Linked DNA regions of Coturnix japonica. The protein of the gene in region 2 purifies or fractionates together with the protein of the main gene of each other region. This does not show direct contact. Links are inferred from orthologs where the notes say so. Each region holds a gene or a part of one and is shown on either strand. Other genes may lie near its edges.

What was found. Proteins that work in one complex are often made in the same cells at the same time.
Region 1: the proteins of ZFYVE27 (region 2) and VAPA purify together in Homo sapiens (co-immunoprecipitation; 3 studies listed by BioGRID and IntAct, counting the BioPlex papers as one, with this or other methods). This does not show direct contact. The link is inferred for Coturnix japonica from reciprocal best matches to the Homo sapiens genes ZFYVE27 and VAPA.

What each region holds. Positions count from the first base shown.
Region 1 is NC_029517.1:88,648,751-88,652,968, forward strand, and holds the start of VAPA (vesicle-associated membrane protein-associated protein A), read right to left. Parts: upstream 2,808-4,218; 5' UTR 2,676-2,807; coding exon 2,600-2,675; intron 1-2,599. UniProt on the Homo sapiens protein: Endoplasmic reticulum (ER)-anchored protein that mediates the formation of contact sites between the ER and endosomes via interaction with FFAT motif-containing proteins such as STARD3 or WDR44.
Region 2 is NC_029521.1:19,457,424-19,461,660, reverse strand, and holds the start of ZFYVE27 (protrudin), read left to right. Parts: upstream 1-1,431; 5' UTR 1,432-1,459; coding exon 1,460-1,668; intron 1,669-1,742; coding exon 1,743-1,813; intron 1,814-2,039; coding exon 2,040-2,226; intron 2,227-2,346; coding exon 2,347-2,442; intron 2,443-2,602; coding exon 2,603-2,715; intron 2,716-2,798; coding exon 2,799-2,929; intron 2,930-3,281; coding exon 3,282-3,353; intron 3,354-3,520; coding exon 3,521-3,541; intron 3,542-3,728; coding exon 3,729-3,873; intron 3,874-4,138; coding exon 4,139-4,185; intron 4,186-4,237. UniProt on the Homo sapiens protein: Key regulator of RAB11-dependent vesicular trafficking during neurite extension through polarized membrane transport. Promotes axonal elongation and contributes to the establishment of neuronal cell polarity.

The DNA.
Region 1 (4,218 bases), on a different chromosome or scaffold from region 2:
GAGTATGTTTTTTCTTAAAAGAACCATTTTCTAAGAACAACCTAAATGTGAGTTAACTTGCAATTACATCACTGTCTCTTTTGATTTCAGGAAGACCAGCTGAGTTTCCATCACAAAACTAGAAAGTTTGGACTTGAAAACTTCAAGCGTCGTCATTCCACTACATGACTGTTCAGCAGCTAAAATAGATCTAAAAAAACCAAGGTATTTACTCACAAGGAACCAGTTCCAAATGATGATAATCTTCCTTAAACGAGACCTACAGACAATTCTGTTCCTCTTGACACATTTGCACAACGCTCCAAAATACATTTGCCTCGTGGTTCCCCTTAGGCATCCCTGATGGCCCCACAACCCAAAGAAACGCAGCTATCACAGCAGCAGAGGGAATCGCCCAACACCAACGCGCTATCAGTGGATTCCTAGGAATGCCAGGTACTACAAGAATGGGATTCTAATCTTTCTGACACCAAAGCAAACACAGCGTGTTAACCACGATGAGACAAGTTTATAGGCTCCTTTTGAAAGGTGCGGAATCAAATTCAGCACGTAGTTTCTCTATGAGCCAACAACAGCTTCATCAGACAGTGCTGATGAATTTTAAGTGCTGTCAAGTGTTCCTCACATAAGTTCTACCAACCCTTTAATTTAAGTCCTTGTTTGCAAAAGGGCACTTTAACACATTTCACTGCTACCCTAAAGGTCGGCAAATTCTCTACAAGTCACTGAATGAGGCAAGAAAACCTATGGAGCTATTTGTTCTGTTCTGATGGCCGGACATCAACAGTATTAGGACGATAATACCAATATTGGACAACCATCCCAGTAAACAATTCTGAATAACCAACTACACTGAAAAAAAAAAAAGAGATCATATGATTTTCCTACATCGAAGTTACGCTGAGAAACTCTGAGTCATGCACTCTCTTAGTAACCAATTATGTTTCAAAAGATAATACTTGCTGTTCTCTTCAGCCAATAGTGAACTCTTCCATTCAACACTTCAGAATTGTATGACTACCTGTGGCCCACAGACCTTTCTGAAGACCTCAGAACAATAAGCAGGTGGAAAATATTTACCTGTGTGAGGTGGTGTAGGGAGCCTGCTTTGGCAGGGGGGTTGGACTTGATGATCTCTTGAGGTCCCTTCCAACCCCTACAATTCTGTGATTCTGTGAAAGCACCAGCTGCTCTTTAAATAGGTAGGTGTTGCTGTAGCGTATTACAGTAATAATACAGTATTAGAGAGCACTTGCCATGGTGTCCCACTGCAGTTCCATTACACTTCAGACTTCAGGTTCGCTCAATCTGCTCAACATTTTCCTACCATGTGCATGAGCATGAAACCAAACTTCGTGCCTAATAAACGTGTTTTGTAAACACATGACAGCACCGATCACTGTCTGACAATAGCTTCATCCTGACAATTTCTACGTCTAGTACTCGCTGTATTCACTGTCACCAACACCGTTTCAAACCACACAAAAACACGGTTTGCTTCCAGCTTGAAGACAACACAAGATGCAGGAGCTTCAACCTGCTCCTGCAAGAGTGCAGCGCATTGAAACCCAGGTGCAGATATTCTAACATAATACATAAGCTCCCACTGTGGTTTTGGTTGTACCTTTGGATGTGCAATTTCAAAACTGCAGCTATTAGGAAGTTAAGATGCGTGACACGACAGAATTCTTCCTTTTTTTCTGTTTTAAGTGATTTGATGGCTCTCCAAAACAGGTAAAGCTTGTGAAAAGCCCCTTTGATGAAGCAGACTTCAGTCTTATTGCCAGGACCAGACAAAAGTATCTGGGGGAAATAGTGTTTGTCTTTGATATGAACATCAACCTGCTCTGCTTGTTCAGCTCTCTAAATTGACAGGGCAGGATGCTCGATTGCCCCTTAAACAATGAAAAACGAGCCTAATAAAAACCAAACACCAACACTTACGGGATTATGCAAGTACGAGTGTTGACACCAGCTACAAAAGATGTAAGCTAAGCATATGAGCAACATCTCATTCTAGCACGTTTGCTTTGCCGTTGCGTTTGGCTCTTTTTAACACACACCTTTCCAGAATCACTCTGCAGGAGCCACAGCTGGGATAGCTGTGGGAATGGAGTGATTGGTGAGGAGGGGATAACACCCCATACACCAATAGCGCCGACCGCAGCCCCTTCCGACAGCGGCGCACCCGACAAACGTGACATGCCCGAAAACACCTCAGCCCGGGGACCTCCCTCCCGCCCCTACCTGCAGCGTTCAGCGCCGGCGGAGCTGACAGCAGAGCCGCCCGTGTAGGCACTCATGGCAGGGGGCGGCCGGAGCCGCTGTGCGGGCAGACCGGGCGCGGTGCCCGCCGGGGGCCGGGCCGCGGCGCTGCCGGGGCCGCGGACACGCCGGAGCCGCCGCGGGATCGCAAGATGGCGGCGGCCGAGCCCGCTCCCCGCCTCGGCGGCACCCCCCCACCCCGGCGCCGGCGGCCTCCTCGAGGGACCCGAGCGGGCAGGGCCCGGCCCCGCGGAACGGGGTGAGGCTCCTCGCGACGGCCGAGGGAAGCGGGACACCCCCCGCCCCGGCCGCCCGGCGCCCCGCTGCCCCTCACCTTTGAATTTAAGGTCGGTGGGCGGATCGAGCACCAGAATCTGCTCGTGCTTCGCCAGAGCCCCGGCGGCCGCCATCTCGCTCGTTCGCTACGGCGGGAGGAGGAGAGGGGGAGGGTGGGAGGAGGAGGGGGAGGAGGAGGAGAAGGAGGAGGAGGAAGAGAACGAGGGGCGGGACGGGGAGCCCGGGCGGCGGTAGCGCTTTTCCCTACGCCTTGCGGCGGGTGCAGCCGCTCTTTAGCCCGGCGCTGCTCGCTGCTCACCGCTCGCTCCCCACGTCGCACCGGCGGCCCCCGGCAACGCCGCCACTCCGCGGGCACGAGGGCGGAGGCGGCAGTGACCGGGCCTGCTGTGCGCATGCGCCCTCCCGCTTTGCTCGCTCGCTCCCCCACCGCCGGTCGCCGGCCCTGACGGGAGCCCTGCGACGGAGCCGAGCGGGAAGGAGCGGATCCACGCTCCGGGAACGGGCTGTGGGAGCGCTGCGCATCACACAGTATCACAGTGTTGTGCGGGTTGGAAGGGACCTGAGAGATCATTGAGTCCAACCCCCGGGATTCGAGCCCTGTGTAGCAGAGCGGCACTTCTACCACTTGCGCCACAGGGGGGATTCGAACCCAGGGCCTCCAGTGTTGCAACGCGGCATTGCTACCACTGCGCCACCGGGGCACACGCATGCGCCGCTGGGGGTTGTAGTGTTTCTCGGTGCCTGGTGGGCTCTGTAGTCCAGGTTGGGGTGGTGTGTGGTGATGTGGCGTCGTGCTCTGCCTGGCGTCTCAGTGTGGTGTCATTGAAGCTGCCGGAGAGAGGGTAAGAGTGGGTGAAAAGTGAAAGGCCTGGGTGAGTTCATGCAAGATCGGAGTGTGGGTGATGGAATTTCTTCTCTCGTGGACTCACCAAAGATTACTCCACAGTGTTTCTCTGAAGCAATAATTCAGCCCCGGAATTATGTGGTAGTTATATACCTGAAGAATTTCTGAGTTTTTTTTCTCAAAGAATTTCGTGGTGTAGGGAACCTGCTTTGGCAGGGGGGTTGGACTCCATGATCTCTAGAGGTCCCTTCCAACCCCTACAATTCTGTGATTCTGTGAGATACGAGGAGCTGCTGCAAAACTCTAAATACCTCCAGAGGTTCTCTCCTTTCTCTTTTTAAATAGGCTGTCTTGACTCTGTTGCAGTCAGTAGCAAAACCTCTCACCAATTGCAGTGAGATGTCATTCACAGAATCACAGAATGACCCGGGTTGGAAGGGACCTCAAGGATCATGTAGTTCCAACCCCCCTGCCTGGCAGGGCCACCAAACATACACATTTACTAGATCAGGTTGCCCAGGGCCCCGTCCAACCTGGCCTTGAACACCTCCAAGGACGGGGCATCCACAACCTCCCTGGGCAGCCTGTTCCAGGGCCTAACCACTCTCCTAGTATGTCATTCCGGAGGTGTCTCTAGTATCTGTATCACTGCTTGCAGGCAGCTAACATTTGCTTAACGTGAGTTTAACATTTGTCCTGTGTGCTTGTAGATCTTCATGTTTATTCACATTGTGAATTCAGCATCATTGTTGTTATAGTATCTCAGTTTGGAGACTGCCTGACATTTTTCAGAGCTGTTTGCTATTAAATAT
Region 2 (4,237 bases):
GGGCTCCGGTGGTAAGGTCTGCACCAGCCCCACAGGTGGCCGGGGCTGTGCGAGATCAGCAGAAGCACTGGGCAGCCAGAGACTGGGAAGTGTTGGAGGAGCACCATGCTGGAGCTGCTTTGGTTACCAGCTGTCCTCACCCTGCTTGAGGACACATTCTGCCATTGCTTTCAGGGCAGAAAAGGACTGCCCCAGCCCCTGTGTTAGGCTCAGTTTGGAGAGCTGTGGCCCCCGCAGCAGTCACCTGGTGCCTTTTTGTGGGGCTAGCAGCAGCGATGGCACGGAGGGGCCAGGTTGGCACTAGATCACAGCTTCCATCACCGAGGGCTGTGTCAGCAGATACCTGTGTGCTCCCACACTCTGCCAGCCCCTGGGCCAACCCCTGGCAGGATGTGCTATCCCCACCCTGTGTCAGGGCTGGTCCCAGACACTGCTGGCTCCCGTGTGCTCTGGTGCAGCCCCAAGGCCCAGGCTGCCCACACACAGGGAGGCTAGCGCTGCCATAAGTGCCTTACCCCACAACCCCACGCTGCCTGTTGTACCTGCCGCTGTCCCACTGCAGTCCCTTCTCTGGTGCCTTTGGATTCACATTCCAAATAAAGCAACACTGATGCTCACTTGGTGTCTGGGGTTTTGTAGCAGGACTGGGACCTGCAGGGATCAAGAGATGATCACTTACACTCAGCTCTGCAGCCTCGGGGTCACCCCTCCTGGAGCAGTGATTGCAGGGGCCCACTGTGCTCTGGGGCTGTGGGTGCTGAGCTCTGGAAGAGGGGCTCAAACCCCTGCCCTGAGGATGGGCTGCCCCAGCCCTCTCACACCATGGGAGGGATGGAGCAGAACCTGGTGTTTGTGTATCATTACAGAGCGATTATGTTGGAAGGGACCTTAAAGCCCACCCAGTTCCACTCTGCCACAGACTGGTTGCCTGGAAGTATATTATCCTCTGGATACTGTTCCTTCTCCCTTCTGCTGTACCAGCTGCACCGTGCATCTCAGTGCCACGAGGTTCCATGCACACGGAGCAGCCCGCCCTTCAGCTCCATATCCTACAGCTCACAGATACAAGGGCCGGGAACACCGTGTGCTTCCAGGCCCAGACACGCCTGTGTGCGGTGACACGGGGCGCTGCTCCGTGGGATGGGCCGCGCTCATCGTGGGGTGGGAGCAGGAGCACAGGCTGCTCTGCGGCTCCCGGCCTCTTACAGCCCTGCGAGCTGGGCCGGGGCCGAGTGAGGCCGAGTGAGGCCCAGCTCATGGTGAGGCCCGGCGCACCCCGCGCCCTCCCATGGTAACACACCCACTGCCGCCCCGCCGCCACTTCCGCCCTTTAACCATCGCTTGGGCGGAGCTTCCGTCCCCACCTCCCACCTCGGCTCTTCTGATTGGCTGCGTGCCGCGCCGCCGGGTGACGTCACGGCGCACCTGGCCGCTTCCCGGAAGTGCGGTGCGGTGCGGGATGCAGGCGGCGGAGCGGGACGGGCCGGCTGCGGGCGGGGACGGGGCGGCACCGGCAGCACCGGGGGGCGGGGAGGGGTCGGCAGAGCCGCTATCGACACCCAAGGCCGCCGCCTTCGACCTGCTGGACCTCGTGCGGAGCTACCGCCGGCTGCAGATGTACCTGGAGCCGCTGCGGGATGCGGCCGAGGGCGTGCGCTGCCTCCTCCGGTAGGTGCGGGACGGGGCCGGGACCGGGGCTGGGCCCGCAGCTCATTGGCAGCTCATTGTGTGCTGTCCCACAGGTGGCAGCGGCCGCTGTGCTCCATGATCGTCTGCATCGGCCTGAACTTCCTCCTGCTCACCCTGGACCAAGGTGTGTGTGTATGTGTGTACATGTGTGTATTGTGTGTGTATGTGTGTGTATGTGTGTGCATTGTGTCCATGTGTGTGTATGTGTGTGTGCATTGTGTCCATGTGTGTGTATGTGTGTACCTGTGTGTGTGTATGTGTGTGCATTGTGTCCATGTGTGCACTGTATGCGGGCAGTGCTGTGTCCCATCCCACCTTCCTGCCGGCTGATGCTGTGCTGTGTCCCGCAGCCGCCTGGTACTCGGTGCTGGCGCTGCTGGTGGTGCTGCCGGCGCTGCTGTGTTACCTGCAGGAGACCTGCCGTGTCCGGCCCTCGGAGCGGGAGCTGCTGCGCAGGAAGTACCACAGCGTGCGCCGCGAGGACCTGCGCAAAGTGCAGCTGTCACGCCAGGAGGCTCTGACCCAGGTCAAGTGCTTGTGAGTGTCCAGCACCCTCCTGTCCTGGGGCATCACCTTCCCTAGGTCGTGCTGTGTGAGCGGAGCAGGACAGGCTGTGTGTTCGTGGGGCCGTTTCTTGACTCAGTGGTCTCGTTTCAGCCTGATCCAGCTGGAGGGGTTCCTGAGCGGGCTGTGTTACAGCTGTGAGGCGGCGTATCGAGTGCTGTACTGGGAGAACCCTTCTGTCTCTTCCCAGTGAGTAGGGCTGCATTGGGTGCCCTGCGTTGGGCTTAGCAGGGAGAGAGACCAGGCCAGTAGAGCTGCTCTTGTGTTTGGTGCTTGCGGAGAGCAGACAAAGGACAAGGAGAGGGACTGTGGGATTTCTGATTTCTCTTGACCTGCTGCTCTTTCCCAGGTTTTACGGAGCGCTGCTGGGCTCTGTCTGCATCCTTTACCTGCTGCCACTCTGCTGGGTCATGGCCATCCTCAACAGCACCCTCTTCCTGGGCAACAGCCAGTTCTACCAAGGTAAGGGCTCTTCCTGGAGGTAGCCTGTGTGGCTGGAGGAAGGGGAGTGCAACCTTGATCCATCTGTGTTCTCCTCTTATCAGTGATAAAGGAGCTCAAGGCCTCTGTTGAGCAGAGTTTGGGCACCAAACCTCTTGAGAGCCCTCCAGAGCCTGCCAAGCCCCTACCAACTGATGCCCCACCAGACCGGACTCCCACACCCACCAGCACAGAGGTGAGGGGTGGCAGGGCTCAGAGACTTGGGGTGGGAGCTGCAGCTTCAGCTCTTGCAACTGGTTTTGCTTCTGTCCATCTGCACACAAAATAGTTTTGCTGGAAGCCTGTGTACCTGGCTCGGGATTCCATATTGAACTGCTGAGGGGATGCCTTGCTCTGCTGGGTTCTTCACTCTATCTTGCTATGTGTGTGGAGTTACCCTGGAGAGGCAGGGGCTCTCCCTACCTTTTGATGCTCACTTTATGGGTCTGCCAGTGAGCTGGTGCTTCATTCTAGAGCTGCCTTGACAGTGTGGTCTTTACTTCAAAGGCGGGTGAAATAGGATAGGACTAGCTCTGATTCTCTTGCAGGATCTTACCCCTGGCAGCGTGGAGGAGGCAGAGGAGGCAGAGCCTGATGAAGAGTTCAAGGATGCTATTGAGGTTTGATCATGGTGGGGGTGGGCTGTGCCTGCAGGTCAGGCAATTGGGGCGGAGGACTGCTGTGACAGGGCAAAGTGGATGCCTGGGGAGGGCAGGAGTGGGGCTGGGCACCTCTGCAGTCTCACTCCATCTCTACTGCCTCTCTTTGTCCCATGCTGCGGGAGAAGGAGAACCAGCTGCTGGTCATGGTGAGTACTGCTGTGCTGAGGTGTGCGAGGGGGCATCTCTTCCCAGCTGGAGCTGGTAGCCTTTACCTGGTTTGGCAGTAGCTTGTGATGCTGACAGGTGAAGCATCCTGTTTTCATGCTTGTCTCTGGGGCAGGCTGCCCTATGGCCCCTCACTGCTTTTTGCTTATTCAGCTTTGCTCCTTATAGGAGGATGATGAGGGCTCTCAGTGTTCAGCAGATTTTGACCTCAGCCTCCCAGACAACGGTTTTATGAGCAAAAACGATGTGATCCGCAGCAAGGTGTCACGTCTGACTGAGCGCCTGCGCAAACGCTACCCCAGCAACAATTTTGGTAAGGCCGAGAGCAAGTGTTGTCTGGGGAACCTCAGCACTGTGGGGTCTGTGCTGCTGTTGGTGACCACTGAACTGTGAGAGGACAAAGTGACGTGTTACTTTGTCCTGGCACCTTAGTGACTCTTTCCCCCAATGGAAAGGGTATTTGTAGCTCTCCTGGGGACAGCAGGGTTGGGAGGGTCTGTACAACAAATGTGGGTGCTCTTGTGCCTTAGGGTCCCAAGTATCAGAACCCTGCCTGACCTCTTATCTTTCTCTTCTAGGGAGCTGTACAGGCTGTGGAGCCACCTTTTCTGTGCTGAAGAAGAGGGTGAGTCTTCAGTTTCTCCAGCTCACTAGCCACACTGGGGCAGAAGTTCTGT